Linked DNA regions of Coturnix japonica. The protein of the gene in region 3 binds, or shares a complex with, the protein of the main gene of each other region. Links are inferred from orthologs where the notes say so. Each region holds a gene or a part of one and is shown on either strand. Other genes may lie near its edges. The genes, in order: STRN3, ARPP19, PPP2CA, PTPA, INTS6, PDCD10 and STRIP2.

Region 1 (3,500 bases), on a different chromosome or scaffold from region 3:
TAGAGGAACTCAGAGTTTGAGTAACTGATGAATAGGCTGATCTTTTTTGTTTTAGGCGCTTTTACATCTTGCACAAAGAAAAGGCTGCAGTAAAGAATCTTTAAGTTAGTAAATTTAGATGAAGGAAGCAAACCTCTCAGAGAGGAGGTTATAACAAATGTTTCATATATCAATACTTTTAGATTTTCCTACTACTGATATTCAAAGAATAGATGAGTATAACTAACAGATCTGTAAGAACACAGATGTGGTAAATTACTTATCAGTATTTTAGCAAATGTGACACATAGCTGTTTTACTTGAAATATTATTTATATTGAAATGCTATAAATACTTATTTGGTTTCTGATCTTTTGTCTTTCCAGAGCCAAACGTTCTAGCTGGCACACTAGTTGCTCACACAGATGCAGTCTGGGGTCTTGCTTACAGTGGTGTTAAGAATCACTTACTATCTTGTTCAGCAGATGGCACTATTAGATTATGGAACCCACCAGAAAAAATGCCCTGTATTTGCACTTACAATGGAGAGAAAGGTAAGTTTTTTGCTGGGAAATTTTGGTTTTGAAAATTTGTTATGAGATATCTGATGAAGTTCTTGGCTTGTCTCCATTTTTCAAAGCTAGTTAACACGACTAAAGAGAGATTCTTTTAATAAAATAATCCTGATGCTGTGGTGTTATTCTGAAGGGAGCAAATTAAGTATGGGTAAGCTTAATGCTTATGTTGTTAAGAATGTTAAGATGTTCTCTTGTTGCTAAAGGCATTTTTTTTCCTCACTTTTTAGAGCATGGAATACCTACATCAGTTGACTTCATAGGTTGTGATCCTGCTCATATGGTGGCATCATTTAACACTGGCAGCACAGTCATCTATGATTTAGAAACATCTCAGTCAGTGGTAATGCTTTCATCCCAAGTAGAATCTGGTAAATAAAGCTCTTTTCTATTAAGTATTTAACTTGAATGAAGTGCCTGTATGAAAGTTTTATCATGTGGGAAGTAAAAAAACAATAATACAATTATTACTTACAATAATTACTTACAAAAATTGCTTACAATAATAAGGGATTTCAGCAAAATATTCAGTGTAGAATCTGTCCAGATTGTGCTTCAGTTCTCTCTTATGGAACATGTAATATTAGAAATTCTGTTGCTACAAATAAGGTGTTACATAACTTGTTGTTGATAATTGTATATAGTTGATGAGACTCTAAATAGAGGACTTGTCTTCAGTACTTCATTTTCTTGAATCTATGGAAGTGTTTCATAAAGAAAGCGTTCAGTTTCTGATTATTCAAATCTTTGCAAATACATCTAAAAGAGTAGTGCAAGGGAAGAATTTGCTTTTCCTCTCCAATTAGTCCAATTCACTTAGTGATTGTTCTTATAGTATCAAGTAGCATGTAGATAAGATAGCTTTTGCAGATTTTTATAACATGTGCTGAAGCCTATACTCTGGGTATTGTGCATAGCTGACACTGACAGTGAGAAGCACCATTGCAGATTGGAGAGATTCCTTTCCTCCTTTAAGAGAATCTCAAAAGAAATCAACAAAACAAGAATGAAGGAAACAATCTTTAAGGCAGGAAGTGTATTATGAGGACTATTCTGAGAACTTACGAAGATGCTCTAAACTTTCAGTATTTCTTTAAGCTGAAATACATAAAAATAATATCTGCTGGAATCTTGTAGGTTAGGTTGAGTTTAGATTTTTTGTTTGTTTATGTTCAAGATGTATTTTTTTTTTATATGAAGGTATAAGAGTTGTGTTCTAAATATATGGGCGATTTGTTCCTTTCCTTATTTGTTTGCCATCCATCTGAACAATCTTTCTTATGTGTAAACCAGCTGTGCAGCTTTAACCTTAAAGTACATTGGCAGGAGTATACCTGGCTTAATCTATCTTCTGTTAAGGCAAGATGGTGGTTATTATTAGATGTGTTGATGTTGTTCTGAGGGTGTTTCTTATATAATGTTAATACAGTATGGTAAAGTGGAATGCTAGAATATTTTCATTTTAGCTTTAGCCATTTCTTTAAGGCAAATGAGTATATGTTTGTGGTTTTTTTTTAATTTCAGGTGTACAATCAAATAATCACATTAACAAGGTAGTAAGTCATCCCACACTTCCTGTTACTATTACAGCTCATGAAGATAGACACATCAAATTTTTTGACAACAAAACGGGTAAGGGTAAAGAGACCCTCATGTGAATGTATGAATATGTTCCAAGTAGATCTGGATGGATATAGGAAGAATCCATTTGTAGAGAATATACTAGTGACCAGGACTTGATGTTGTTCCAAGATTAACTTTTATATGAAATTATGCCATCCCTTGCAACTGTGACTTCAGCAGTCAGAAACATTCCCTTATACAGAGATGGTTATGGCAGGCCAGAATATCCTTTTAAATTAGCAAGATGTTGATTTATAGAATATCTCCACTATTTTATTCCTGTTTTCACCATTTCCATGCTTATCACTCCAAAGTTATCACTCAGTTATATTTTCAATTCTCAGTCATAAAAATCATTACTTGGTACTGAGACAAGATATGGCCCTTAATTCATTGTAGCAGTGGAAGCCTTTGTTATATTTAAGTTGTTGGTTAAGTTCTATTCGACTTCAATTTTTGAATCAGCTGTCATTTTCTGTGTGTTATCCTACTAAGCAGGAAGAGGGGGGGGAAAAAAAAAAAGCATAAACTGACTTCTGTATGTATGTGTGCAAAACCCCTGTTTAAAATGTCTGCTTAGGAGATGAAGAGGGGTGTTATTCTGGTATTTTTGTTTTGGTTTTATTAGCTTTCTGCCTTTAAAAAGAAAAGGATAAGATGTTTTTTCCCCACTTCTTCTCACCTGTGGTCATTAAATATGCTGAAATGATTACTCCGAAATTCAAATGTATTACCAAGTCTTTAAAAGTAACAAAGGAAGATATGGCATGAACAAATAACTGCGTTAAAGACTGGAAATGGAAAGTGACCAGGAAGAAATGGAGATCCTTGTAGGCTTGAGAATAAGCACATTAAATTCTGTGTGGAAAAATGTGTGAGGGAAAGGAATAGCCAACAAAATCAGTTAATATATTGTATGAGTTCCTGATGCATACATACTTGTACTTTGTGTTAGTCTCCTATTGCTCAAAAAAGGATATAGCAAAAAAAAGCGTTTCAAAGAGTGGTTTAACATATGAGAAATGACAAATTGGGCTAAGATTCTTCAGGAAAAGAGAACTGGATAAAGATGACAGAACTTTTTCATGTTGGTTATGGTCTTACTGTGGACTTGTTAGCTTACTCTCTTTTCCAAAACAAGAACTAAGGTTCAACTGACAAAGAGTCCAGGGGAAATGGCACAGAGTAGTTGGATATGCAGGTAACCACTTAGGTTTGTAATGTAACTGAACAGTTAATTTTAGAAGTTGGAGAACATCTTGTATCTAAAGTACCACTTAGTTGTCCTGTTAGATGGACCTTTGATATTACCGAGTATGTCTT
Region 2 (4,265 bases), on a different chromosome or scaffold from region 3:
CCAAAGGAGATATTTTTAAGAACAGAGGGCTGACAATAAAGAGCTCACACAAATACGCATTCACAGAACATCAAAGGAGATATTTATGCAGACTTGCAGGGTTGACAAATCATCACACAGCAGGCAACCAAACACCAAATACTGAGTTGTGCATCAATGCAGCTAAAAGGATACAGACTGCAGTCACCTCTTCATGTCCAAGAACAGCTATGACCCCCTAAAACTATATAACATGAAGAAGGATGAAAGACAAAGACTGGGACGTCAGACACAAGCAGCTGAGAACAGGTTCAAAAATACCTAGAAACAAGGTGCAGTCAAGCTCCAGAACTCCTCACCAAAGGATGCAGGGGACACCAAGAACACAGATGAATTCAGAAAGGCACTGGATGTGTTTAATTGCAGCTCAGAAGACCTTTATCCATAGACTGAGGAGACCTGGGGTAGCTTTTAATGGAAGATCATCGCCTGCTTGTCCTGCCTTTCTATCTTCCACAGACTACGTGGCATTGAGCTCTCTTGGAGATGCATCATTGCAACACAAAGGCGTTAACTCAAACCCACAAGACCAATGGCATATTAGCAGTGTTTTCCCTTGAGTTATTATAGAAGCAGCAACCAAATGACTGACAACTGATGGAGAAAAATCAAGATGTACCACGCACTTCTTCCTAGTGACAACCACACAAGTTGTAATTTTAGTTCTCTATGGGAATTTTTGCACAGCTAATGAGGTCTGTTCACTTCATTAAAACGAGCTACCAGCACAGCCAGTAGTTACCTAACACATCTAAAAATGGCTCCTGCTTTTAATCTTCATGAAAAACAAGAGGTTTGCTATCTGCTGGACAGCTGAACTGCACTGCTAAAAACAAGCCTGGGCAATCATGTTCTGAATAAAGCTCATCCCCTTTAGAGAAAGACATCAGACAAGAATATAAAGGAGAAAATGAGAAAAACATGACGGCACTGGAACTGCGCAGTTATGGGAACAGCCAGTCTCCAAACAAGAGGTACCACTGCTACCAGCTTCCTGACAAACCCCGGCTGGTAAGGCACAAACGGCACCACTGAACAAGCACACGTTCACCACTGCCTGAAGGTTTCTTTGTTGCCCAACTTCCTCCTGCCACGATCCCAAGTTTTCACACAGAGAACAGGAAGCGCTGCTCTCATGGAATGTTTGCAGTCGACATCAGCCTTCACTGAGCGTCCATGTGAGCTTCCTGCAGCAGCACAGCTTGGAAGGGAAGTCTCAACTTACTGCCCCTGTGTTCCTTAGGGGATTCTTCTTTAATGGGCACTGCAGAACGGGTCGGTCGGACAAGTACTGTGGAGCTGAGCATTAACTGCACCAACCCGACATTTTGCTTGTCCAGACAAACACTGTTGAAGGTGAACGTTACAATGCCACAGTATTAGTGTGGAGCTCTGACATCACATGACGGGGACTCAGAGAAAATGAGGATTTATTGACTTTCATTTGCCCCGAGTGGCTGCTCCGACTACAGCTAAACGAGAAGCTCAGCACGGGATCCCACCCGTCCTGCAGCCAGCAGCGTTTCAGAGCAGCACATTGCAGGACATCGGCCCCAAACTTTGTCGGCAGCATCAGCGCCGTCCTGCCGACAGCCCCAGAACACACTAGAAGGCGGCACAACGAACGCGCTGCCGCATGTCAGCACGCTCCCGTTCCAGCGCCGTTCCAGCAGCGCCGCACAGGCCGGGCACGGAGCGGGATCGCTCACAGCCTGTGCCGGCAGCACCGCGAGCTCCGCGCCGCAGGGAAACGGGGCCCAACCTCCGCTCCACGCGGCCCCGTTCCATCCTGACTCCCGAACCTTCCCTCCCTGATTACAGGCGGTGAATTACTAAACAAAAACTTCATCCCGCCGGCTCGAAGGGCCGTTTCCCCTCCGTAGGCCCTCACGGCAGCACACCCGCGTTTCCTATCTTCTCCGCCAGCAGCGGGGACAGCAGCCGGCGCTCAGCGGCGCCCAGACGGCACGGACGGCTCCGGGAGCCGGCACTGCGAGAACGGAGCCCAGCACAGAGCATCCACTGCACACAGCACCCACCGCACACAGCACCCACAGCACCCAGCATCCACGGTCTGAGCGCTGACAGCGCGGCCGCCGCTCTCTGGACGCGCAGAGCAGCGCGGGCCGCCCAGCCTTTGTCTGTGTTGCTCGGCCGCCCCGAGCCGAGCGAGGGGTTATTACGGAGCCTCGCGGCGCAGCACCGGGGCTCCCTGCGGGCCGAGGCCGCCCAGCGCAGACGGGAGCGCCGTGTACCGCCGGGAGCACGGCACGGCACGGCACAGCACGGTACGGCACGGCACAGCACAGCACGGGGCCCGGCGCGGTGACGTTGCTCCACGGCGGACGCCGAGCGAGGGCAGCGCGGACCGCCCGCCCGGCCCCGGGCTCGGGCCGCCTCCCCCCGTGCTGCTCAGAGCCGCTCACGGTGCCGCGGGCCGCCGCCTCCTTCCGCCTCGGCGAAGCACGGATGGAGGCAGGGAGGCGCCCCGCGCCGGCCCGTTCCCCTCAACCCCCCCCAGGAGATCCTCCACCACCACCACCCACCTTCTGCTCCTCGGCCGAGGCGGGCTCGGGGCTCTCAGCAGACATGGCGCCGCGGCAGCAGCACGGCGGGCGGGGCGCCGCTCCTCCGCGCAGCGCAGCGCAACTCCGGCTCCGCACAAGATGGCGGCCGGCAGGACGGCGCGCCGGCGGGAACACACTTCCTCCGCTCAGCGCCCGCCGCGCGCAATGCAACTCTCGGCGGGCACTTCCGGCGATGGGCACGGCCCACGGTACGTCACGCAGCACTTCCGGTCCGCCGGGAGCCGGGCCGAGATACCGGAAGTGCTGCGGGGATGTCGGGAGTTGCGCCCGGGCGGGAGGGAGTGCGAGAACCTTGACACAGGGTGAGTACTTGTAGGATACACGGGGTAAGTACTTGTAGGATACACGGGGTAAGTACCTGTAGGATACACGGGGTAAGTACTTGTAGGAGACACGGGGTAAGTACTTGTAGGATACACAGGGTAAGTACTTGTAGGATACACGCTGTCTGCTTGGGCTGAACATCAGATACAGAGAAACTAGGGTGCGTTCCCATGATACTACATTAGGTCCTGGTTACACGTGCAGTGCAATTGCAGTTGTATTTGACTCTTGGGCTGCCAAAAGATCTTCAGCTCTGCAGGACACTCAAATGACTGGAAACTGCAAGTGTTCCCTTGTACAACAACTGCAAACAATGCCCTTGTACAATAACTGCAATTAATTCCTTTGTACAACAACTGCAAGCAATTCCTTTGTACAATAACTGCAATTAATTCCCTTGTTCAATAACTGCAAACAATGCCCTTGTACAACGTCTCCCAGGTTACATTAAAACAAATGCTGATCTTTGAACACCCACCATAACAGGGCAAAAATAGTGCTCCAGCTGGAAACAGGCTCAGTAATATCTGGGTTTTGCCCTTCTGTAGCAGCAGTCATTGGAAACACAAGAGTTGTATCACCTGGAAGGTCTGCTCTCCCTTCCTGCAGGTTTCTCAGTGCTCTGACTCGTCACTTCATCTCAGAGCAGCACTGAATGCACAACACACATTCACTGCTTCTCCAGCCTTCATCAGATAAGGACGTTCCACTCCCAAACACAAAGGTCACCTTTCACATGACTGACGCCATGAAAAAGCATTGAGATGGAAGGAAAAACATCATCCAGGGTAAAACAGCAGAGAAACTGTGAGATCTTCGGCAAGCATCATAAAGCTTCGTTTTCATTATTAAATATATACTTCAAATATAATCAAATGCTTCTAGCTTTATTTCTCTCAGTTACACAGTTTAACACTCAGCATAAACTGTTCATCTGACTGTGATTTGCTTTAGGAATACATGTATTGGAAAGCATTTCTATGCCCAACATAGCATCTCTAGTAAAACTTCAGATAGCCACCTAGTGGCCTACATGGAATTGACCTATTAAAAATATTCAGGATTACATGAAGATCCTCCTCATCTAAAAATAAAACAAAGTACATGTTCCATAGCTTTTGCATATATTTCAGATATAAATGCTAATTAGTTTGTTCGCACAGTACATCCTTCAGCACAATCTGAGAAATCAAGTGTGGAAGGTGGGAATTATATGAGACACCAACAGACAGCGAAACCAAAGTGGCTCTTTTAGAAAGGAAGAAATGGAGGGAGCTAAAAATGAATTGAATCAAAGATCTGAATGCAAGGGGA
Region 3 (4,249 bases):
TGAGTTACTGTGCTGCACTGCACTGTGTCTGCAAATAGCTGTTGTGTTCTTCTGCTATCAATACTGAAACACAACAGAGCCCTCAGGCTTCGTCTTACTAGACACACACGAAGCCTCAGAAGATCCAGAAATACCAGTCAGAAGATCACCTAATAAACAGCATGTTATGGGGAAAAGCCTTCACAAGAGGGATTACTTTTTTCTATCGTAGCTACAGCTCAGAGCAGTGAGGAATGACAGCTTCTGTCAGATAGGGTCTGCACCCATCATTTGAAACAGTGACTATGTTTGACACCACCCTTAACATCTAAGCTCTCTATGGAAAATCATAACCTTTGGGTGTGATTGCAGACAATAATCAAAACACGAATCATAATTCAGTACTGCAGAGAGCTGGTGCTGGAAGCCTGGGAACAGGATAAATGAGGAACCTCTGCAGACAGGCACAGAATTCAACTAATGCCCTGCTTTGGGAACACAGCAACCCATGGGGGGGACAGGACAATGGAAAGCTTGACACAGCATCTCACCTACCACTAACAGGGGCTGGTAAATCCACCAGTAGTTATCACCCTTAATACAAACAGCCTGGATGTACCTCACAAAGTGTTGACCTCAACCGAGTAATAGAGAGGGAGCTTTATCTCAAGCACAGTGTCATGCTGCCCAAAGACATTCCACCTTTGGTCTGGAGCTGGCTCCAACTTGTGGCAAACCATCCCTGCTGCTCAGTGGTATTCTCACATCAGCCTCTCTCCTGTCCTTGCAGCCTTTCATCTCAATGCAGCAGTCGAACAGGCAGCTTTCTGTAACCTAATTCAACTCCTTCATCCAAACAATTCCTGCAGCTCATCACCTATCATTCCTCCAGCCTCTCCAACAGAGTCTGCTGCTCCTACAGAGCCCACCTGCCTCGTGATTCCTTGCCTTGAACCTATCAGAATCGTTTCAGGTTAGAACAGCTTTTTCTTTCCTAGTGTCATGAATCTATTCTGGTGATGAACATTACACGCTCAGCCAGAAATAGACTAATTCAATTCTTCATTAGGAAAAAATGAAGACACCTCCATCCTCGCACAGATTATGAACAGGACTATGGTGCCTTTTGTGCGGTTTCTATTGGCATGTCTACTGCTCACCTATCCACAGCATCCACTAAATGCAAAGAATTTCATTTATTCCTCGGGTTTTTACAGATTGCCATACAACCACATTAGAAATACCCAGCCAGGATTCAGCCCTTCCATCAGCACATCAGTGATGGCAAATGGGACACGAGGAAAAAGTCAGAGTGCTGGCACTAAAGACACACAAGGGAAACAATCCCTAACCTGCTACTTGCTTGGAACACCACGTTAAACACACAAACTATATCTAACGGCTTTGATTTTGAGTTGCTGGAATATGAGGCGACTGAAATGTGGGACACAACAAGAACCTGTATGGCCAAAAGCACTGCAAGTTAATTCTAAGTCCACATACAACCCTCTGGAAACAATCTGCTTCTAAACCAACACGCTGTACTATTTGAAGGCATGGTGCCAACCTTAAAATACCCCTGTTTCCTCCTGTGATAGGCACGCAGCCTTCTTTAGGACCGAGGGCATCAATAACCTCCATACGCATTGATTTCTAGATCCCTCCCCCAAAAAAGGCAATTCCTTCAATCTAAAGGTGCACACAAATAAAACCTCCAGTAATTGAAGGGAAAATAATGGCTCATGATGGCTGAGGATTTAATTCCGCTCAGAAACAGACTGTAACCGGACAATACAACCGGGTACCACTGCAGCTATTATTCCTTTAATTCCTAGAGCACAGTTGCCGATGTGAAGCCGCTCCTACACTACACACACAGCACATCATTGTGCTGCGCGGATCCCCATCAGTCACCGTAGCAATAAACAGCGACACGAGCTTTATGTCACTAAGCGCCATTTTATTCTGGAAAAAAAAAAAACAAAAAACAAACCCGACTCCCCAGGTCGATCTAAAATTCCGCTTCAATTAGAAATAACCGCGATCCTATATTTGTATGGTAAATGAATAACTGAATAATCCGCCGTGCTCACAGCAGCTCGGAGCCCCGCACCGCGCCCTACGCTCCCTGCCCTACACGGCCTCCCCGTGTCACCGCACAGCACCGCACGGATGGCGGAGCGGCAGGGCCGGGCCCGGCGGCGGCTCTCGTGCTCTGTGGCGGCGGCTCCCGGCAGCGGCGCCATTTTAGGAGGCGATGAAAAGGCGGGAGGCGGGGCCAGGCCGCGGCAATGCCCGCCGAGGGGCCGCGGCTCATCCAGCGCCGGGCAGAGCGAGCAGCGCCCAGCGGAGCCCAACAGAGCGACCCACCGAGCCGATGTGTGGAGCCGACCCACTGCCCGGCACCGCTCCGATCCGTCCTGCTCACAGCCCCGTGTGCCCAACCCCGGAGGTGCCGCCCCGCCCCGTGCCGCCGCTCCGCTCCCCACGCCGCGCCTCACCTTCTCGCACAGGCTCTTCACCTGCCCCTCGGACAGCTGCTTGCACTCGTTGAGCTGCTCCACCCACTGGTCCAGCTCCTTGGTGAACACCTTCTCCTCCATCCCGCACGCAGCCGCTCGCTCGCCCCCTCCTCCTCCGCCTCCTCCTCCCCCTCACCACCAGCTGCCGCCGCTCCCCCCAAAGGCCCCAACGACGCGATCCCGGTGGTCGCGGCTCAGCAGCGGGTCGTGGAGCTGCGGGCGGAGCGGCGCCCAACGCACGGCAGCGAACAGAGCGCTCCGACCCTCGCTCTGCCCGTGTAATGGCCGCCGCTGCTGACGTCACGGCCCCACTACACTGCGGGGAGGGGACGGCGCCGCCATGGGAGGGGACGGCGCGTGCGCAGTAGGCTGGACGGACCGCGCATGCGCGACATGGGCGGGACCTGCCCGACCGGAGAGACGGAGCTCTATGCTGCGCATGCGCGGCGCATGCTGGCTGGGGGGAGCGGGGCTTGCGCGCTGTGAGGGGCTTCGTGCGCATGCGCGGGAGGAGCTGCGGGTCATGAGCTTTTCCCGCCCGTGCAGGGCGCGGCTGTGGGCGGGTCTGAGGGAGAGCGGTGGGGAAATAGGGGGTAGCGCTGTACAGTGTGTGGGGTACGGCTTCATGGGTGTGTGGGGGAGCGGGGTGTGACACTGAGGGCGCAGTGCTGAAGGACGCTACTTTGCAACGCTGGAGGCCTTGGGTTCGAATCCCCCTGTGGCGCAAGTGGTAGCAGTGCCGCTCTGCAGCACAGAGGCTCCAATCCCGGGGTTGGACTCGGTGATCTCTAAGGTCCCTGCCAACCCGCACCGCACTGTGACACTGTGACGCTGTGCGGTGTGTGTAACGTGTATTGCAGTGGTCTTCATCCTAAATGACGGGGCTGCCGGTGTGGCATTTCCTTACAGTAACTTATCAAGCGTGTGAAATATCAGTTAAAAGAACAACAAAATCAATAAAGTGGGTCAGAATTTGGCCCAATGTGCCCTTTTGGAATTAGCCACTTACCAAAGGCTTCCTGCTTAATAGGAGTCACTTGTCTCCAGCCGGGTTTGCCTTGCAGTGAGTGGAAAGGGTTAAATTCTTTGCTTGCTATTGAGGCAAAGAAACAAAATAGTGAGCAAAGGGGAAGGAATGTTTGCTGTAACCAGTCGGTCTCGGTTCCTCCATGTCATGCTCTCTCTATAAGATGTGCATTTTTTTGGCATGCCTTTCTTCAGGGGCTCTATTTTGCATCCTCAGATGCCTCTGGTTTTGTATTTTAAAGCTGTAAAAGGAGAGGTGTTATCTGTTGAAAAATGGCAAGAATCTGCTCTGTGGCACTGCTTCATTGCCTCCCAAATAATCCTGAACAAGCAACTGGAAAGAACATAAGGCAATAATCCTCTCTTATTTAACTAGCCAAGTTAAAGACCGTATTTAGCTTTTGTTTTCATAGAGATAGAGGAATTCCTGGTGAAACTCAGGTTCTGAATTCTTTCTGATTTTTTCTTTTTTAAATTTCTTAAATTAAAGCTTCAGTAGCAGGAAAATCTTAACTTGCTTATGAAACTGCAACCAAAGTCCTGTGACGTATTATCTGATATGTGCAGAGAAAACACGTGTAATGTGCACTAGGCAGTGCTCCATGCGGATTGCAATAGTGATTGCTGCTGTCTTTAAAGCAATTGTGGTGGCTCCCAAACCTGCCATAGGTTAATGGGAGCCTGGTGTTAGGGTTACTCTGCTATGGAAAGGTTCCTTGTTT
Region 4 (4,221 bases), on a different chromosome or scaffold from region 3:
TAAAGGTATCTCCAAAGCAGAGCAGCAACAGAATGATGCAGTCCCGAGGATTATTATGCTCCTCTGAGCAACCATGGGGCAGACAGGGTGTAAACAAAGCTAAGATCACATCTGATGACTCTGAGCAAACAGGGAAAACTCCCCACTAAATTAGCTGAAAACAGGTAGATCTGTGTTTTCTCTTTTATGTCTGTCCTCTGCTTGTTTGGATTGAGGTCCAACTCAAACATTTGATGGGAGGAGGAGCAGCGATCACAGCTGAACAGAGGAGGCAGCTGGCAGCAGAGATAGCGAGTCGCCTTCCTCTTCCCCACAAGCACCAGGGAAACAAACACCAGCAGAGCTCTGTGTGTGTGGATGGGCCCAGCTTACAGGCTGGCAATGCTCCCAGGCCACGTTCCAGTATAACCGATGACCTTTTCCAGTGTGTAAAGCCGATGGGAAGTCCACCTGCAGGCTTGGGGGGGGCGGGAGGAATTTCAGAGCGGTGTCTGATTCCCAGCACAGCCAGAACGTGTCGTGTCAGATGACAGGTGTATGTTTGTCTTTTTATATTAGAAACTGGAGCCTCCTCCAGCCCTGAGAAACCATCTCATGGGGTGAATCCACGCTGCCTCCTGCCCTGAGGTCTATCAGTGGTGTCAGTGAGCTCTGACCAAACCAAGGGTTGGGTGCTGCACTTTGGCTTGGGACAGAGTGGATCTGGGGTTTAATGTGTGCTCAGGGGGTGAAGAAGGCCAAAGGCAGCGTGGTTTGTATCAGCAATACAAAGCAAGGAGCTGACTGTGCCCACATAGTGTCACTGCTGGGGCTGCACCTCAGTGCTGTGCTCAGCTCTGGGTCCCTCACTGCAAGGAAGACACTGAGTGTGCAGAGATGTGCAGTGTGTGTGGGTCTGAGCGGCTGAGGGCAATGGGATGGTTCAGAGCACAGAGGATCATATGGGGAGTCCTGACGGCTCCGTGCAGTCCATGAAGGAGCTGTGTTGAGGTGGGGTGGGCTCTGCTCACAGGGTGGGATGAGAGGAGATGGCCCCACATTGGGGCAGTGCCAGGCCCCAGCCGGGCTGACACCCCTCCCCACCCCTCACACGGGACACCCCCCGCTCCCCCCGCTCCCTTCATGCTGTGATCGAGGCCCAGCTGCCCCCTCACGCTCCATCCCGCCCCTCTCTGCTCTCACTCACCGCCGCTCTGGCCACGCAGCCCAACATGGCTCCTCTCCCGGCCGCCGCCGCCGCCCGCCGCAAGGACACCGGCACCACCGGGCGCCACCGCCCCGCTCGGCCGGCAGGGGGCGGGGCTGCGCGCCGCCATCTTGGAGCGGGGCGAAGCAGGTTCTGCCATTTTTGAAAAGGGCAAAATGTTACTGTAAGGAGAGCGAGTGTGAGGCGGCAACCAGACAGGGCAGGGCGGCGCTTTGCCCGGCTCAAAGATGGCCGCCGGAGGTATCGGCGTTCAAGGTGAAGGGTGAGAGGTGAGGAGTCAGAGCGGCGGCGGCCTACGGGAAGATGGCAGAGAGCGAGCGGCCGGCGGGTGAGAACGGGGGGGACGGGACGGGGATAACGGGGCTAAAACGGGGCTAAAACGGGGGTAACAACGGGGGTAACGGGGCTCTGTGTGGATCTGAGGGGAGCAGGTGGACCGAGCCGCCCCTGGGGCCTGTAGGGCCGGGAGGGCCGGGCCCTTGTGTGGTTCCTCACGTCTGATTCTATCAACCTAAAGTTATGGGCAGCCAGGCTGTGACACCGTCAGCAGCAAAGAGGGGACAGGGAGCTCAGGGCATGGGGGAGTTCTGCCCACAATCATTTCCCTATCTCCATCCATAGCAGGGTCTGTGTGTTTCCCAGCTCCCTTTTCCCTGCCGTGCCCATCACAGGGGTACAAGGGTAGTAGAATAGTAGTACAGTAGTACAGTAGTACAGTAGTACAAGGCCTTCTGAACCTGCAGCCTGTAACAACATTTGGAGTTGTCCCACTGTGTGATGTGGAGCTGTTGCTGGTGTCGCTCCTGGTGCTGAGCAGGCAGAGGTCTGTGTGTTTTATGGGTTTCAAATGATGAACAGAGTGATCCTGGTAGTATTCATGGGTTCACATCAGCCCTTGGTTTCTTTAACAGTGGTTTGCTCTGCTGTCTCGTGCTGTTGGGTGGCTCTGTGTGGAGGCAGGAGTTGGACTCTGATCCTCATGGGTCCTGGATCAAACTGGGATCAAAAGGATCTTGGTAGCGTTGATCTTTAAGGTGCTGCGTTTCAGCATCCTCAGCGCTTCTGGAATGGAGAGTGCTGCTCTGGGCTGCCATCTACTGAGTCGATCCTGTGTTGTCTCTGCAGGAATTGGCCTTCTTAGGGGATTGCAGCCCAGGTGCAGCACCCCGAGAACAGGTGGTTTGTAAGGAAAGCTTAGTGCTTCAGCATGACCCAAGGCTTGTTCACCCTAGAAATAGCTAAACTAGCTGGGTGATGTCACTGCTGGCTCCTGCAGGCTTCTCTCTCTGAATGGGAAATTCATCTTCAGTAGAGACAGTGAACGTAATGCAGCCTTTCTGAAGCCATCGAGTGTCCTCCAGGGGATGTTATTGAGGGGATGCTGCTTGCTGAGCAGGACTTGGTGAGATTGAGGCACGAGCTGGGATGGATTTGTTTGTGTTCAGTCTCCTGGGAAATTAATGTTGCTTTCTAAGAAAGGAAGGTTAGAAGATTGCTTCTACTCCACTGCCTGCTTTACCTCTTTCTTGCATCTCCCAGGCAAGCCAGAGGAGATGGCTCCTCCCATCCAGCAGAGCTTCATGATCCCCAGAAAGGAGATAAACATGGTTTCTGACATGGGCAAGTGGAAGCGCTCTCAGGTATGTCTGTGGGTTCAGGGAAGGCTGGTAAGTGCTTATTACGTTACAGTGGTAGCTGGGTCTGGACTGGTAACTGCCATGAGGTATAAAGCAGGTTTGGGCAAGTTGTGGGAAATTAATGGATGTGTGTTGAAGCAGGAGTTGCTGCCTGATTGTAGGAAAATGACTTGGCAGCGAGGTGTGGAGTCTGGCAGCCAAATGCTCAGACAAAGGAGCCAGGGAGAGCCCAAAGGTTGAGGGGGACAAGAGGTGTGTAAGAATTATTACTGCTCCCTGCCGACATGCCAAGTGGTAACTATTTCACCCTACATAACCTGAATGTTGTGATATACCAGGTTTACCCGATGCTGTCTGAACTCAGCTTGAATTTGTGAGCTGGCTGTCTGGCCCTTACGACATCAGGGTGGGTTGGTTCCTGGTGCCTTCCCGCTGTGCTGTACTGGGAAGGGCTCTAGAGCCAAAGCCTTTAATTTCCTGGGTAATTTTTGTTTATAGTGTCTGTGGGGCTGGTGGAACAGGCAGATTCTCTGTCCTCTGCCTTTAAGACATAGTAGGGATGGGCTGGACTTGTTTCTCCTGTTGGTTCTGCTGTTTAGGAATGAACTCTTGCTTAATGTCTTATGAGAAGCTTAAACTGTTGCCAGCTCTCTAGTAAACTTAGGATTGCAATTCCCCTTATTAAATTTTCTGGGACTAAGGACTTGCTCCTCTCTGGATTTATGTGTGAGGGTCCCAAGGAGCAAGAGTTGGCAGAGTGCTAGTCTAACCATTCCACAGACCCAGAGCTACCAAGCTGTTCTGCATATGATACTTCAGAATCAGCTCGTATAAAGAGCACAGCAGTGAGGAGTTTGGGCCGTCTCCCACTTCATCATACGTGTACACAGGAGAACAGAAGGAGATAATGACAGACCTGGGAGGAGCATTGCAGGGCGGGATGTCTGGACACCATAGAGATTCTGCAGAGCCAGGGAGTATGAATTTGACCTGATAAGAGGCAGGGAGCTGAGAGGAGGATTTCAGGGGCGGCGTGAGCTTTCTTAGAATTCTTCACTCCATAATCTTTTCAGCAATGCAGAGTTGTTGGTGCGATCACCATCTGCCTTCAAGGTCTGCCAGAAATAGCAGTAACCTCACAGCAAGCCCCGTGCCCTGGCTGTCTCCATGAAAGCAGTGCTGTGTTCTGGGAAAGGTTCCCTTGGTGTGCAGGAGCACGATAATGCTGCAGTGCTAATTCAAACAGACTGTGGGTACTCACTGACTTGCTCTTTTGGATGTGTTTGCAGGCATATGCAGATTACATGGGCTTCATCCTCACCCTAAACGAAGGTGTGAAGGGCAGGAAACTGACCTGTGAATACAACGTTTCAGAGG
Region 5 (4,128 bases), on a different chromosome or scaffold from region 3:
TTATATGACACGGGTTTCACATATTTCTTCATTATCAATAGAAACAGTAAAGAGCACGTATTCCATGTATGTATCTGCTATGGTAGATGTTTCAAGAAGATTTGCATTGCTAATGTAACAAAGAAAAATGGCAGAAAATGGGAAAGATTAGTACACAGAAGAGGACAGCAGATGGTAATAGACAAGAAAAACTAGCCATGTGTGGAACTAGCTTTTTTTTCTTTGAAGTTTCATCACCAAACTGGCATTCTAAAAATGTTTAGACTCACTTAATCACCTAGTGGGCAAGCCATACAGTGCAACATGAGATAGACCTCCTTCCTAAACAAACATGGCGTGTTATCATAAACCGCACTCAGACGGGGAAAAGGGAGGGAGAAAACAGGGACTTATTTTCACAGCCACATCCCCATGGTAAATACCAAGAGCAGTAACTAATCCTCAGAGAGCAGATGAAACATTACATGAGAAAAGATACGAAAAGGGGAGATTGACTTTAGCACATCCCACGTGAAAGATACAGGGTATACTTTGCCCAGTACTGGTAACATCTTCTATGCAAAACAAATCCAGGGTCTGATCCAGTGCCACAAAGAATTGGGTATGCTTCTTAAAGTGCATATTTTAACCTAGAGTTAAGGGCTTGTAGCAAGTCATACTACTGAGCAAGGGAACACTGGACCTTCCCAGTAGTAGTTCTGCCTTAAAGGGACAGCTGCCATACAAGCATTTGAAAATCAGAGCTTCCTAAGGTTCTACTATAAACATGAATATGAAAAGAGAGGTATTCAGAGAAGTGTTGAAGTAAACTCACTGGAAAATAACGCTTTAAAAGAGATGTGCTCAGCTTAGCACTTTAGGTGCTTTAGTGCTGTCAGACAAAATAGCCCATCTCCCAAATTGTACGTAACTGATCATACAGCACTATATACAGAAATCAATGTTTTGAAGGCCTCATTGGGCTCATCAGTTAAGGTTCTGGAATTTGTCACCAAAAAAAAACACTACAAAGTTTAACTGAGAAGGTCAACTGCAGCTTACATAGTAGTTTAAAAAGAGAGTAATGAGGAGAATAGGAGGTAATAGCTGGGTACAGAACTGTAGTTAGTACCTACACTTCTTCAGACTGTCTGAACTCTGCTTGCTTTTTATGAAGCCCCTGTATTGAGTGCTTCATGAAGACACTACTTTGGGCAACCACGGGAAACGTGTGTTTTATGATTTTTCCACCTATTACCAGTCAACCTACCTGCCCATAGTTGTCTATGCCAGTTACTAATCTATTTAAGTTTAATAAATCAAAAGCTGTTCTTAGGGACTGGCCAAGAGTTGTAAGTCCTTCAGCCTGAAGGTTTTTCAGTTCATTCATGAACGTCGCATGGTTTTCCTTCCAGCCAGCCTGAAAAGAGAAACGCGAGAAGGCTTATTGGTGGAATGAGCTCGGGACGGGAACCTCCTACGGGATCGGGCTTTTCTGTTGGCTACAGCGTCTCCCTTCAACGCTAAACGAACACCTCGGAAGTTACCAGCATTCAGTAGCATTTCGTAGAGCCTGAAAAGACGGACTGAAAGAGCATGAAATGCTCTGCGTTCATCGAGTATTTCTTACAAGGGACGAAGCCACACACACTAAGAATCCTACACACCGGGCTCACGACCCCACAGAGGCGATGCCCAGCGGGTTCACCCCCCATACCCCCCCGCGTCCCGCAGCCCCCGCCCCGGAGGGTTCTCCCCTCCCTCCCCTTCCCCGCCGAACTCTCCTCGGAGTTGCTGTCACTTCTCCCAAGTTGAGCACACCTCCCCCACAGTTCCTGCCGCTCACACACACACACCACACGGGGGATATATAAAAAAAAATGTCGGCCATGTTGATGTCAGCGCCGCCGCCGCCGCTGCCCGAAGCCGTGCGTGCGCGGCGCCGCGCGGCCCGGCCCGACTGAAGGGGCGGTGCGGCGGGGCAGGAAGGAGGGCCGGGGGGCGGCGGTGGAGGGAGGGGGGAGCGGGGTTACCTTGATGGCGTAGGGAGGCTCCTCGAAAGTGACCAGCATGTACCTGTCGCCGCGGCTGGCCGGGTCCCGGGCCCGCAGCTGCGGCGCGGGGACAAAGCGGAGGGTGAGGCGAGAGGAGGTGCCGGATCTCCCCCCTCCAGGCGCGGCACTGCCCTCCCCTCCCTCCCCGACCCCCCTCCCGGTCTCTCCCGCAGCCCCCGCGCCCCCGGCCCGCAGCCCCCCGCCGCCCCCTCCCCATCTCGCTCGCTTTCGCCTCCTCTCGCCAGGCAGCGCCGGTACCTTCATGAAAGTCTCTACAGCGCCTTTGGCTATGTCCAGATAGCTGGTGCCGAGGTACGCCCGCTGGTTCATGGAGGCGGACGTGTCTATCAGGAAGAGTAAGATGGGCATAGTGCGGAGGGGCCGGCGGCCGGGCGGCTACATGGACAGCGGGCGGGAGGGAGACGGGAGAGCAGGGGGAGGAGGAGGAGGAGGAGGAGAGGCAGCCGGGGTCGGGAGAGGAGCGAGTGGCTGTGAGTGCTGTGCACGGGAAGGGCCTCCCGCTGCCCCTCTGCCGAGGCGGGGGAAGGGGGCAGCGCTGCCTGCCCTGCCCTCCTTTGTGTGAGGGGCCTGCCCAGCCCGGCACGGGCCGGGTGCTGCGGGAGCGGCGGGGAGGGCTGCGCTGCTGCTAACCTTCCCCCCCGCCACCACCGTCCTCCTCCACCGCCGCCCTCCCTCCCCTCCCCCTGTTGATGTTACTCAGAAGTTTCAGGCGGACCGGCCGCAGCCCGCCCACCCCGCCACTTTCTCTCTCTGACTGAGGCGCTTCCTCGCTCGCCGCCCGCTTTTAAGGGCGCCTGGGCAGGTCGGGACACGCCCCCTTAGGACACGTCCCCGCCCCACGTGACCGCCTCCCGGCCCCGCCATAGGGCTTCGGTAGGCCGCTCATTAGCATATTCAAATCGCCGGGGGAGGGCGGGGTTGGGGGGGATGGAGCCGCTGTGGGAGAGGGTGGGGGGGAGCGGCGCCGCCGCGCATGCGCAGTGGAGGTGGGGTGAGGGGCGGCGGGGTGACTCCATATCAGCCCCGTATCAGCCCACAGCCCCTCGAGGCCGCCGTTCTGCCGTACCCCGTGGCGTTGCTTAGCGCTCATCGCCTCCCGAGGCGTGTAGGGCGGTGCTCTCCTGATTTTGGAGGGCATTGGTGGGGTCCTAAAGGCGTTCAGAGCCACGGACCGCCCCGCTGGCTGTGAGGGGACACCGCGAGGCCGGGCTGGTTGTGTGGTGAATTCCCATAGAGCCGCTCTGCAGTTTCACTTGGTGTGAAAAAAAAAAAAAGATTAAAAAAAAACAAACGGGCTGCCCTTAACTGTGACCTTTTCCCTACGCGCAGGCAGAGATTAACACTGCTGTGTCCCTTTGATCCGTGCTCAGGCACTCCGAATTTACTATAAATCACATCGTTGTGGAGTCTTTCCAGCCAATTAATGCTGAAGATTGAGCTCTCCGTCCTTTGGAGGTTTCTGTTTGTTTTTCCCCACAATTGTGTCTGTGCTGTTCCTGCTCTCCCAGCCTTGGAGCGCTGACTCCAGAGCCATTTCTTAGCATTATCTGTTCAGGAGATTGTGCTGCTTCCTTTCTGGCTGATGTTTTCCCCTGATCCAGCTGATGTGCTCCCACAGCCGTTCTCTAGAAGGTACGAAGCCACTGTACTTCTTAAGATAAAATTGGCAGCGTCCTGGTTTGAATCATTTCATTCTTCCAGGCAACATTTCTGTCTTGTTAGGCAAGAGCTGTTTTGGGCTTCTTTTTTTTTTTTTTTCTTTTTTAAAGACTAATGAAGATTAGCATTTAGTTTCTAGGAAGGTTGGAAAGACAGAGGTGGAATCACATTTTCATTACAGGTGTGTCCTTGTGCCTGTGAATAGATATTTTGCCTTTCCTACTGGCACCTGTGACCTGTGCCATCCATCCTGAGGCACTGGGGCAGCGTCGAGGATATTGTCTTTTATCCTGGGTCGCTGCTAGGAGCCACTAAAGAATCTCCAGCAGAAGTCCTATGAGATCAGTGACAAAACTCTCTTATTTGGAGTGGTGGGGGGGGGGGTAATGAAATTTGACAACTATGTTTCTTCAGT
Region 6 (4,043 bases), on a different chromosome or scaffold from region 3:
CCTCCAAATCCACCCAATGAGGTTTTCAATCATTCAATGGAACTGCCTGAAAGGAAAAAACAACACAACACCCTACATTCAGATAAACTTCTTGTAAAGCAGGAAGATGAAAAGCAAGAAACTCCACACTTTCCCAAAATGTACAGCTACTGTTACCAGTGCCCAAGACACAAACTTGCTTTTCTCATCTATGCTATTTTCTGACAGGCACTTAAAAGTCAAGTGGCAGAAGAACCAGGAAGGGCAGAAACTTTCCCAAATCCACCTTTGCTCACTGGTCAGTGTGAAAACAATCTACTTGTCTATGAAAGAAAGTATTTTGCTTCATACTACCTTTTGAAAGCATGTTTAAAGAGAAGACAGAGTGTTATGCTTGGAACTTGAAAGAAGTTGGAAAACAATGGAAACATGAAGTTCCAGATGGCAGAATTTCACTCCTCAGCTACGTCACCTACCTACACCACTGGTGCTGTCTCCATTCCATTCTCCAGGCTCCATTTACCTCAGATGTAGATAATCTTAAAGCAGCCAAACGTTTGTGCTATTTCTTTTTAAGCCTGCTCCTTCTTTTTAAGCGAAGTACCAAGTGGAAGAAGGCCTGAGGCATTGATCTACCTGCATGATTAATTCAATGACTGGTTTTTAGGACAGAACCAGAAGTTACAGCTCTGCTCCTCCTAGAAAGATTATCCCCACTAACAAGAAGTTCCACTCCACTTCTTGTAGGGAGGATTCAAGAAGGTTGTGTTAAGAGAAAATCCACTAAGATCTTTGCCATCAGAAAAACTTAAGCTTAGTAAGAAAGAACGGGATAAAAACAAACACTTAACTTGAGGCCTGTCCCAAATTCAGAGGCAAAGACCTTGGCCTTTATTTGTAAAGCCCAAGTACATGGCTAATATGCAGTTCTAACAGTGTACCTACCCTGTGCACAACTTGGTACCTTTAAGTTTCTCTTGTTAATGGTTGCTCATAATAAACTGGAAAAAAAAGCACAAGTTCCCCCCTTCCGGAGAGAAGTTACCTACATAGTACTTCCATTCGTAGATCATAACCACTCCTCTTGTATAACTTTGACTGCATAGTACAAAGCTGAAAGCCTCTGTGCCTCAAATACTGAGCTACTTCTCTTATTAGAGCTGGGGACAGGATGGTTGAATTCACTGAAATTGGTGTCAAGTGCAGCTATGATGATAACAACCTCTGTATTCTAAAACTAATAAAGACAACAAGAAACCTAAAGAAGCAGCCTACTGTACAGGTTCTGTATTAAGCTAATGCTTACATTCAGCACCTTCCCAAAAGAGATAACAAAAGGAATACTATCAGAAAACAGCACTCAAGTTTAATAGGCATCTTTAAATGCCTCTTAGTAGAGCAAACATGTACTCCTCAAATACCTGCATGCACATCTATCACAGCCACTTCCAGATGAGTTCACTCTGACAGAGTATAACTGCTTGTGCATTTTATTATTGTGAAGCCAATTTGGGTGACTAAGTTGCACAAACTTGCAGTAAATTCAAGAAGCCTATTTTTAGACGGTTACTTCAAAATACTCTGAAATCTGGCTTTCAATAAATCTGTTGTCTGAAGTTCAGAATAGAAATTATTTAGTACACCCTAATACTTTGGTTTTGTGTCTGCCTATCACATGAAAAACAAAAGATGCCTGGACTAGGCCCTAATTTCATCTCTCTCTTGTACTATCACTACTGACACGCAGACAAAGTTCATTTCTCTTTTGTTAACATGTCTCTTTTTAAGTACTAGAAGGCCACAAAGAAGCCTCTCCAATACAGAATAACACAACACATCCCTGTTTCTCTTTCAAGCTCTTTTCCTCTTCCAAGGGAATTTGAAAGTAAAACTACTCAGTTCTCATTGCCCTATCAACCACTAACAGATAAACCACAAACAGAAACAGCTCCAAACACAATAACACATCCCAATGGGTAAACAACCAGCACTCAGCAATCAGTTCCTCTGATAACAAGAACACATCCACCTGCCTCAAGGCTTCAGCAGCAAACCTGTGCCCCCTATATGGACAAGCCCCAGGAAGGCCACACACTCGCCACTCATTAATCATATAACAGCACACTAAGGTGTTTAACAACACCAGCCTAAAGCTTGGTTTAAAGAGGAAGCACGACGTGATCACTTTCTATCCTCCCCCAGACGAAAGGCCCCACCTGGAGCGAACCAGGCCCAGCCCTGACAACGCCGTTCAGCAGTACGAGGCCGGGCTAAAAATACAACGCAGGCCTAACGCTGCCAAGAACAGCCATAGGGCTGCGGACGGGGGTTGGTACCCGGCCCTACCAGGAGGGATCCGAGCGGGAAGGGCGGAAACAAGGACGAGCCCTTGGGCCAGGTCACCCCGCGGTAGGAAGAAAAAGGCCGAGGCCTCACACCTGCAGCAAACAACGTTTCTCCCCTCACCCAGCCTCAAACCTGAGACAGTTTAACGCTTCTAACATAGCACAACCCCAAAAGGAAACCCAGGCCTTACACCGGTGACCCCCACCCTCTTCCTCTGTGTCTCTCCAGGCGCTTATCCCTTTAAAGACATGGGCCTAGAGAAGAAAACGAAGCCTCTCTCACCTCACCGCCTTACCTCGATACCTCTCCGCCCCGCAAAGCTCACCGAGCTCCGAGGGGGCTCCTCCACCTCGCCGGAAACCCAACAAGGAGGAAGCGTCCGCCGTGTTACCACACACCAGGCGTTGTCCGGAACTAACCGGCAGCCGCTCGGATACTTGGGATTCGTAGTCCTCTCTCCTCAACTACAACACCAACAATGCAACGAGGCGATAAAAGGGGCGGGTAGGAGGGAATGAGGAGGAGTATAGGAGTAGAGTCTATTCAATCAGAGCTCGAATCTGGACGGGTGGGCGAGGCCTGGACGGGGCGCGGTGGCATATCCCGGCGCGGGGAGCAGCGGCTGCACTTCTCACAGTGGAGGGGGGTGGTGTTGAGCTGCTGCTGTGGTAAGTGCCTTTAGCCTGCTGTGTTCAGCCGGTGCTGTGTTTAGGGTTGCGGGAGCAGCCTGCGGTTTGATGTCGGTGTGAAGCTGCGTGGCTCCGTAGTGCGGGTTGTGTGTCAGTGCCTGAGGGGAGGTGGTGGGTGATGTGGGGAGAGAATGGGGAAGGAAGAGAGCAATAATAATGTGGCGTCCTGCTGTCCCGGCACCTGCAGCCTGTCCACCTGAGTGTGTTTTATGCTATTCTGTGGTCTCCTGAAGCTCTGTCCCAGCCGTGGTTTGAGCGTGGCAGAACGAAGCTGCCCCAGCCTTGTGCTGAGCTGCTGCCTCTCTCCTCTCTATCTCTTGGCTTGTGTTGCCCTGTAGGTGTCCCCTATATGGGCTGTTTGACAACGGTCGCGTTACTTTTGGTGCTCGCAGTTATTGGAAAGCTTTAAGGTGAAGCTCTTAGTAACCAATATGAATTCCCATCAATACGCAGCTCAGTTCTAGGTTTGAGCCTTCGTTTCTAATGCGTTAGCTTGCAACTTTTCCTGGTACTGTTATTACTTTGGTGAGGCGTATGCGGGTTTTGCTGTAAGCAGGTGATGAATCGGTGCATCGCGGTGCTCCTGAATGCCAGCTGCATCTCCTTGCAGCGCCGAGGTGGTGAAATGGGAAGATACTGATATATGTGTGGGAGCAGAGCCCTTGTGTGTGCTACCCATACATGCTACCAGTGCCCACCATCTGCATGTAGGTAAGGAAGGATGCTAGAAAACAACTACTAGATTTGTCATGCTTTACTGTGTATGCGGAGTATTTGTCTTTGATTCCTCAATTATTTTGATGCGATCAGTGCTTTAATCCAGCAGAAAGCCTTGCTATTTAGTTTGTGTGACAGACACAGAAGCATTATAGCATGGGTTGAGGTGCATATGCATCTATGATATTGTCATTCCTTAGTGGTTGTAAAGTGATGTTAGGAAGCTGCAGTCCTACTGGTGCTAGTATTTTACTTTAAGTCACAGCATAAGTAATGCTTAATGATGCTTTCCTAGATTTACTTAATATGCTC
Region 7 (4,027 bases), on a different chromosome or scaffold from region 3:
AAAGACTAAGATGAAGAGGGAGGTGTGGAGGAGAATAGGACAAAGAGGAGGGTGAGGAAGGTGGGAGCTGTGGCGTCCTCTCACTCGATCTCCATACTGAGCAGCTCCAGGAAGGCGCTGAAGGTGCCCAGCTGGTACAGCAGGAAGCTGTTGTGCCGTGACCAGTGCAGGACATCGCCTTCGCTCTCACAGTCTCCAAACACTCCTGGGGAGGCCCAGGGAGGAACGTGGTCAGCGAGTGCTGCCCTGGGACCCCCCAGGACCTCCCTGGGACGGAGCTGGGCCAGGTGCTCACCTTGTGCCAGGTAGAGGATGGCCCGCGCTGCCCGCAGCCGCCGCTCCCTGCTGACCACCTCCAGCCCCTCCAGCAGCCGCAGCACGTGGGCCCTCTGCTGCGCCGTGTCCAGCTCCATCCACTGCCGACCCCGCGCTGCAGAGGGGACAGAGTGATGTGTGGGCTGTGGGGCAGCACTGTGCCATGGGGCACTGAACACAGAGCTCATACCTTGGGGGCAAAACTCTTCCTCGAAGCATCGCCGGTTGGTGCTGAGCTCGGGCTCCTCAGTGTAGCTGTACAGCTCTGCTGGAACACAGACAGCGGTTACCAGAAGGGTTTTCACCCCTCATCACCACCAGATTCCTCTGAGATATCCCCACATGCCCAAGATGTGGGGCAGAACCCCAGTGTTGTCCTGGAGCTCTCTGGGAGCTCCATTGAGCACTGGGATCCCACTCAATGCTTCCATAACCATCCAGTCAGTCTCATTTCATGTTGGGAACACTGCAGATATCCCAACATGGCATTAAAATCCAATAAAACCCAAATGGGACCCTGGACTCTTGAGCCTTACAGCAGCTCTCCTGGTGGGTGCCGATGGGACAGTGGGGACAGTGCTGATATCTCAGTGTCCCTGAGCAATTTTAGAACTTCACTGAGCTCCGGGTTCTGACTCTGCTCCCAAACCCATTTCACATTGCTATGAGGCAATGGGGACAGCATGGATACCCCAGTGTGGCATAAAAAACGGGACCCAGAGCCACATATCAGCCCCACAGCCTCACCTATAGGAACTTCCACCTCACCCCCGCCCCTGCCACTGCCCCATTGCACCTGCAGTGCCATTTGGAGGGTAATTTTGCCCCAATTTGGTCACTTTGCAAAAGGAGAAACCCCAGGAGCACCGCGCAGCCAGGCAGGTCGAGCACTGCTTCCATGCAAACAGCTCCGGGCTTTGGGGTTTTATGCTGCTTCCAATATCATCATAGTATCATATCGTAGTCTGATATGATCATCCCTACACATTCCCTATACCCCATTATTAACCCCTCCGTTAATTAAACCCTCCTCTCTCTCCCTTCCAGGTTGCTGCCGCCCCACGGATCACCCCACAGCCCCACCTGCGAGCTCTGCACCGCGGCTGTCGGCGTCCCCGTATTCGAACTCCACGGTGGGGAAATCCACGGAGCCCTGCGGAGAGCGGCGCGTTTGGAAGCGGTGCGTAAAAACAGCAGCCGGCCCTGGCTGCAAACAGCCCCTGCACGCTTAAATGCACGGCTCGCACCCTGCCCAGCAGCCCCGCGTGTGCAGCTCCATTTCTGCACAGCCTAAAACCTCCCCGGTTTAAATCCACGCCTTTCATCCTGCAGGCAGCCCCGAGCACATACCCCTGTTCTTCCCAACGTAAACCCGCAGCGTTTACCCTGCAAACAGCCCCGTGCACGGACAGCGGTTCTTCCCGTCTTAAATCCATGGCTTCCATCCAGCGCACAGCCCCGTGCACGCATCCACCCCGCACTCAGCCCCACGTGTGCTCCCCAGTTCTTCCCAGCTTCAATTCCAGGGCCGTCCCTTCTCCCTACGTCCCTCCCAGGGCTGCGGACCCCCCCCGACCCCCCCCATTTCCCGCAGCGGGAGCGGAACTGGAGCGTAAAACCCCGGAGAGAGAACGCATGAATGGGTCACGGATGGCACTTCCATCGCTCCCTCCTGGCTGTGGGGCGGAGCGAGGTACATCGACCCCATCCCTATGGGTACCCCCAAGATGCTCAGCACGGGGCTGAGCGCTCTGCACCAAAACTACGCTTTTTCACCCCATTTTTTTTGCAGCCCAGGGCTGCGGATCCCCTTCAGGATCCTAAATCCCAGGAGGAATTCAGGACTAATCGGATCAGTGGGGCCATGGAAGGAGGAGGGGGGGGGGGGGGGGGGGGGGGGGGGGGGGGGGGGGGGGGGGGGGGGGGGGGGGGGGGGGGGGGGTGAAGCCCCAGCGCACCCAGCACAGGAGCCCACTGTGGGTCTGCGCCCCCCGTTGGGCCATCGGCCCCCGGGTGTTGGGGTGCGGGGAGCATTGGAACTGGGGGGGGAGCATTGAGATGCAGGGGCTGGGGACACCACTGGGATAACCGGCGCTGTGACCCCAGGGACTGCGCAGGGAACCCCCCCGGACCAGGACCCCCTCGGACTCCCCACCCCCAGAATGACCGACCCCCCCCAACCCGCAGCTCCTCAGCACTTCCAGCCCCATTCCATGCCCCCATTCCCCACCTCGGACTCCTTCCGCTGTCCCCTGAAGAACTCCCGGCCCTTTTGGGGGGGGTTCTGCGCTGGGGGCTGCCCCATTCGGGCCCTCCCCGCGTTGAGGTTCGGGTTCGGGTTCGGGTTCGGGTTCGGGTTCGGTGCCCCCCCCGCCGCCTCCTCCATGCGTTGCGCCCTCCGCGCCCCTCCGCGCACGTGGGGGCCGCGCCTCGTGCCCCGCCCCCCCGCTCCTATTGGCTGTTGCATGGAGGGGGCGGGGCTGGAGGACACACCTCCTCACCCCGTTCTGCTATTGGGTTGGGGGGCACCGTAGAGATGATGGACACTGCAATAAGGGGCGCTGGGGGGGCACGTGTGGGTGCCCATAGATGGGGCTGGGGGGAGCATGGGGTGACCCCGTACTGTGGGAGATGGTGGTTGCCCCAGGGCAGGGGGCTGGGGGGGGCAGCGACCCCAAACTGGCGCCATTCAGCAAACATGTCCCACATACAGAAGGGGTTTGGGGTCCCATCCCCATCCCATCCCCATCTCCATCTCCATCCCATCCCATCCCATCCCATCCCATCCCATCCCATCCCATCCCATCCCATTCTCTTATCCCAACCCCAACTCTATCCCCATCTCCATCCCCATCCCATCCCCATCCCATCCCCATCCCCATCTCCATCCCATCCCCATCCCCATCTCCATCCCATCCCCATTCTATCTCCATCCCCATCCCCATTCTATCTCCATCCCCATCCCATCCCATTCTCTTATCCCAACCCCAACTCTATCCCCATCCCCTTCCCCACCCCCACCCCACTCCATCCTTCATCCCCAGTTCCGGAGCAGCACATCGGTTTTCCAACATTTTATTTCTGTTTCGAGATTACAGAGTCTTTATTGCTGCTCTAATACAATCACTCAGACATCAATAATTAAAACATCCTTTTGAAAATGTTCTCCAAGTTTTGCTGCCCTCTCCGCAGCCAACCATGATGGGTTTTGTCTCATTTGTTTCTAAAGATCTCAACTGATTTATTCTCCTTAACATGATTTTGCTGGTGTTCCCTAAAATCTCCTTTTCCTAAATCTTTAAAAACGTTAAAAAAAAGAAAAAAAGAAAAAAAATTAAAATAAAAATTACACGTTTTAATTTAGAGATGATCACAGAATATTATAATTCCAGATTGATTAGGAAAAGCCAAGCAAGCGGAAAAGCTGACAGGAGAAGAAGCAGAATGACACGGAGAAGAGCTTTAAAAATACAGGTGGGAAAAGGTGAGGCCGTTTGGGGGGGGGGGGGGGTGTCTTTCTTTTATTGTTATTATTTTTGTCCCATCACCTGGAAGGTAAATGAAGGTAAATCAGGGCTTAGAAATAGGCACAGCTGCCGGGAGAGATGATCCTGGGGCAGCGATGAGCTCAGTGTGGGGAGCTGAGCTCTGTGTTGGGCGCTGAGATCCAGGCAGGGATCCAGAGCTCCATGTTGAGGTACTCAGCTCCATG

Evidence for each region.
Region 1: PPP2CA (region 3) and STRN3 share a complex: the UniProt entries of both Homo sapiens proteins name them as parts of the core of STRIPAK complex. The link is inferred for Coturnix japonica from reciprocal best matches to the Homo sapiens genes PPP2CA and STRN3.
Region 2: the proteins of PPP2CA (region 3) and ARPP19 are in contact, whole or in part, in a cryo-EM structure (PDB 8TTB), measured with the Homo sapiens proteins. The link is inferred for Coturnix japonica from reciprocal best matches to the Homo sapiens genes PPP2CA and ARPP19. Residues at the interface, in NP_002706.1 of Homo sapiens: Arg89, His118, Gln122, Gln125, Val126, Tyr127, Tyr130, Asp204, Asp205, Pro213, Arg214, Gly215, His241, Gln242, Leu243, Met245, Tyr265, Arg268, Cys269; in NP_001293124.1 of Homo sapiens: Phe60, Asp61, Ser62, Gly63, Asp64, Tyr65, Asn66, Met67, Lys69, Ala70, Lys73, Ile92, Pro93, Thr94, Pro95, Leu98, Arg101.
Region 4: the proteins of PPP2CA (region 3) and PTPA are in contact, whole or in part, in a crystal structure (PDB 4LAC), measured with the Homo sapiens proteins. The link is inferred for Coturnix japonica from reciprocal best matches to the Homo sapiens genes PPP2CA and PTPA. Residues at the interface, in NP_002706.1 of Homo sapiens: Arg89, Gly90, Tyr91, Gln122, Gln125, Val126, Tyr127, Gly128, Asp131, Glu132, Arg135, His191, Asp205, Arg206, Pro213, Arg214, Gly215, Gln242, Leu243, Val244, Met245, Asn249, Asn264, Cys266, Tyr267, Arg268, Cys269; in NP_821068.1 of Homo sapiens: His31, Thr32, Val33, Ser133, Arg134, Phe135, Lys138, Arg141, Asn180, Thr182, Arg183, Arg235, Glu237, Pro238, Gly240, Ser241, Gln242, Gly243, Val244, Trp245, Asp248, Asp249, Phe250, Phe294, Ile295, Met298, Lys299, Thr300, Ala304, Glu305.
Region 5: the proteins of PPP2CA (region 3) and INTS6 are in contact, whole or in part, in a cryo-EM structure (PDB 8RC4), measured with the Homo sapiens proteins. The link is inferred for Coturnix japonica from reciprocal best matches to the Homo sapiens genes PPP2CA and INTS6. Residues at the interface, in NP_002706.1 of Homo sapiens: Arg89, His118, Val126, Tyr127, Pro172, Trp200, Pro203, Asp204, Asp205, Arg206, Gly207, Gly208, Trp209, Ile211, Pro213, Arg214, Gly215, Tyr218, His241, Gln242, Leu243, Val244, Met245, Glu246, Tyr248, Asn249, Trp250, Cys251, His252, Arg254; in NP_036273.1 of Homo sapiens: Leu20, Gly21, Thr22, Asp26, Lys29, Gly30, Glu33, Lys78, Asn79, Gln81, Asp575, Glu576, Asp577, His580, Ser581, Val582, Pro583, Ile584, Ala585, Met587, Gly588, Asn589, Tyr590, Tyr593, Leu594, Met626, Met627, Ile628, Asp629, Glu630.
Region 6: PPP2CA (region 3) and PDCD10 share a complex: the UniProt entries of both Homo sapiens proteins name them as parts of the core of STRIPAK complex. The link is inferred for Coturnix japonica from reciprocal best matches to the Homo sapiens genes PPP2CA and PDCD10.
Region 7: PPP2CA (region 3) and STRIP2 share a complex: the UniProt entries of both Homo sapiens proteins name them as parts of the core of STRIPAK complex. The link is inferred for Coturnix japonica from reciprocal best matches to the Homo sapiens genes PPP2CA and STRIP2.

Annotation. Positions count from the first base shown.
Region 1 is NC_029520.1:30,897,362-30,900,861, forward strand, and holds part of STRN3 (striatin-3), read left to right. Parts: intron 1-365; coding exon 366-533; intron 534-784; coding exon 785-925; intron 926-2,078; coding exon 2,079-2,186; intron 2,187-3,500. UniProt on the Homo sapiens protein: Calmodulin-binding scaffolding protein which is the center of the striatin-interacting phosphatase and kinase (STRIPAK) complexes.
Region 2 is NC_029525.1:7,620,686-7,624,950, reverse strand, and holds the start of ARPP19 (cAMP-regulated phosphoprotein 19), read right to left. Parts: upstream 2,801-4,265; 5' UTR 2,631-2,800; coding exon 2,586-2,630; intron 362-2,585; exon of another isoform or gene 339-361; intron 322-338; exon of another isoform or gene 301-321; intron 1-300. UniProt on the Homo sapiens protein: Protein phosphatase inhibitor that specifically inhibits protein phosphatase 2A (PP2A) during mitosis. Inhibition of PP2A is enhanced when ARPP19 is phosphorylated.
Region 3 is NC_029528.1:2,281,238-2,285,486, forward strand, and holds the start of PPP2CA (serine/threonine-protein phosphatase 2A catalytic subunit alpha isoform), read right to left. Parts: upstream 2,801-4,249; 5' UTR 2,583-2,800; coding exon 2,481-2,582; intron 1-2,480. UniProt on the Homo sapiens protein: Catalytic subunit of protein phosphatase 2A (PP2A), a serine/threonine phosphatase involved in the regulation of a wide variety of enzymes, signal transduction pathways, and cellular events.
Region 4 is NC_029532.1:4,127,948-4,132,168, forward strand, and holds the start of PTPA (serine/threonine-protein phosphatase 2A activator), read left to right. Parts: upstream 1-1,421; 5' UTR 1,422-1,510; coding exon 1,511-1,535; intron 1,536-2,746; coding exon 2,747-2,847; intron 2,848-4,133; coding exon 4,134-4,220; intron 4,221-4,221. UniProt on the Homo sapiens protein: PPIases accelerate the folding of proteins. It catalyzes the cis-trans isomerization of proline imidic peptide bonds in oligopeptides. Acts as a regulatory subunit for serine/threonine-protein phosphatase 2A (PP2A).
Region 5 is NC_029516.1:152,175,915-152,180,042, forward strand, and holds the start of INTS6 (integrator complex subunit 6), read right to left. Parts: upstream 2,801-4,128; 5' UTR 2,403-2,800; coding exon 2,292-2,402; intron 2,091-2,291; coding exon 2,013-2,090; intron 1,400-2,012; coding exon 1,250-1,399; intron 1-1,249. UniProt on the Homo sapiens protein: Component of the integrator complex, a multiprotein complex that terminates RNA polymerase II (Pol II) transcription in the promoter-proximal region of genes.
Region 6 is NC_029524.1:18,270,924-18,274,966, reverse strand, and holds the start of PDCD10 (programmed cell death protein 10), read right to left. Parts: upstream 2,801-4,043; 5' UTR 2,651-2,800; exon of another isoform or gene 2,608-2,650; intron 1-2,607. UniProt on the Homo sapiens protein: Promotes cell proliferation. Modulates apoptotic pathways. Increases mitogen-activated protein kinase activity and STK26 activity. Important for cell migration, and for normal structure and assembly of the Golgi complex.
Region 7 is NC_029516.1:795,090-799,116, reverse strand, and holds the start of STRIP2 (striatin-interacting protein 2), read right to left. Parts: upstream 2,801-4,027; 5' UTR 2,783-2,800; coding exon 2,546-2,782; intron 1,812-2,545; exon of another isoform or gene 1,761-1,811; coding exon of another isoform or gene 1,701-1,760; exon of another isoform or gene 1,469-1,700; coding exon 1,399-1,468; exon of another isoform or gene 1,363-1,398; intron 581-1,362; coding exon 506-580; intron 431-505; coding exon 296-430; intron 206-295; coding exon 85-205; intron 1-84. UniProt on the Homo sapiens protein: Plays a role in the regulation of cell morphology and cytoskeletal organization. Required in the control of cell shape. Calmodulin-binding scaffolding protein which is the center of the striatin-interacting phosphatase and kinase (STRIPAK) complexes.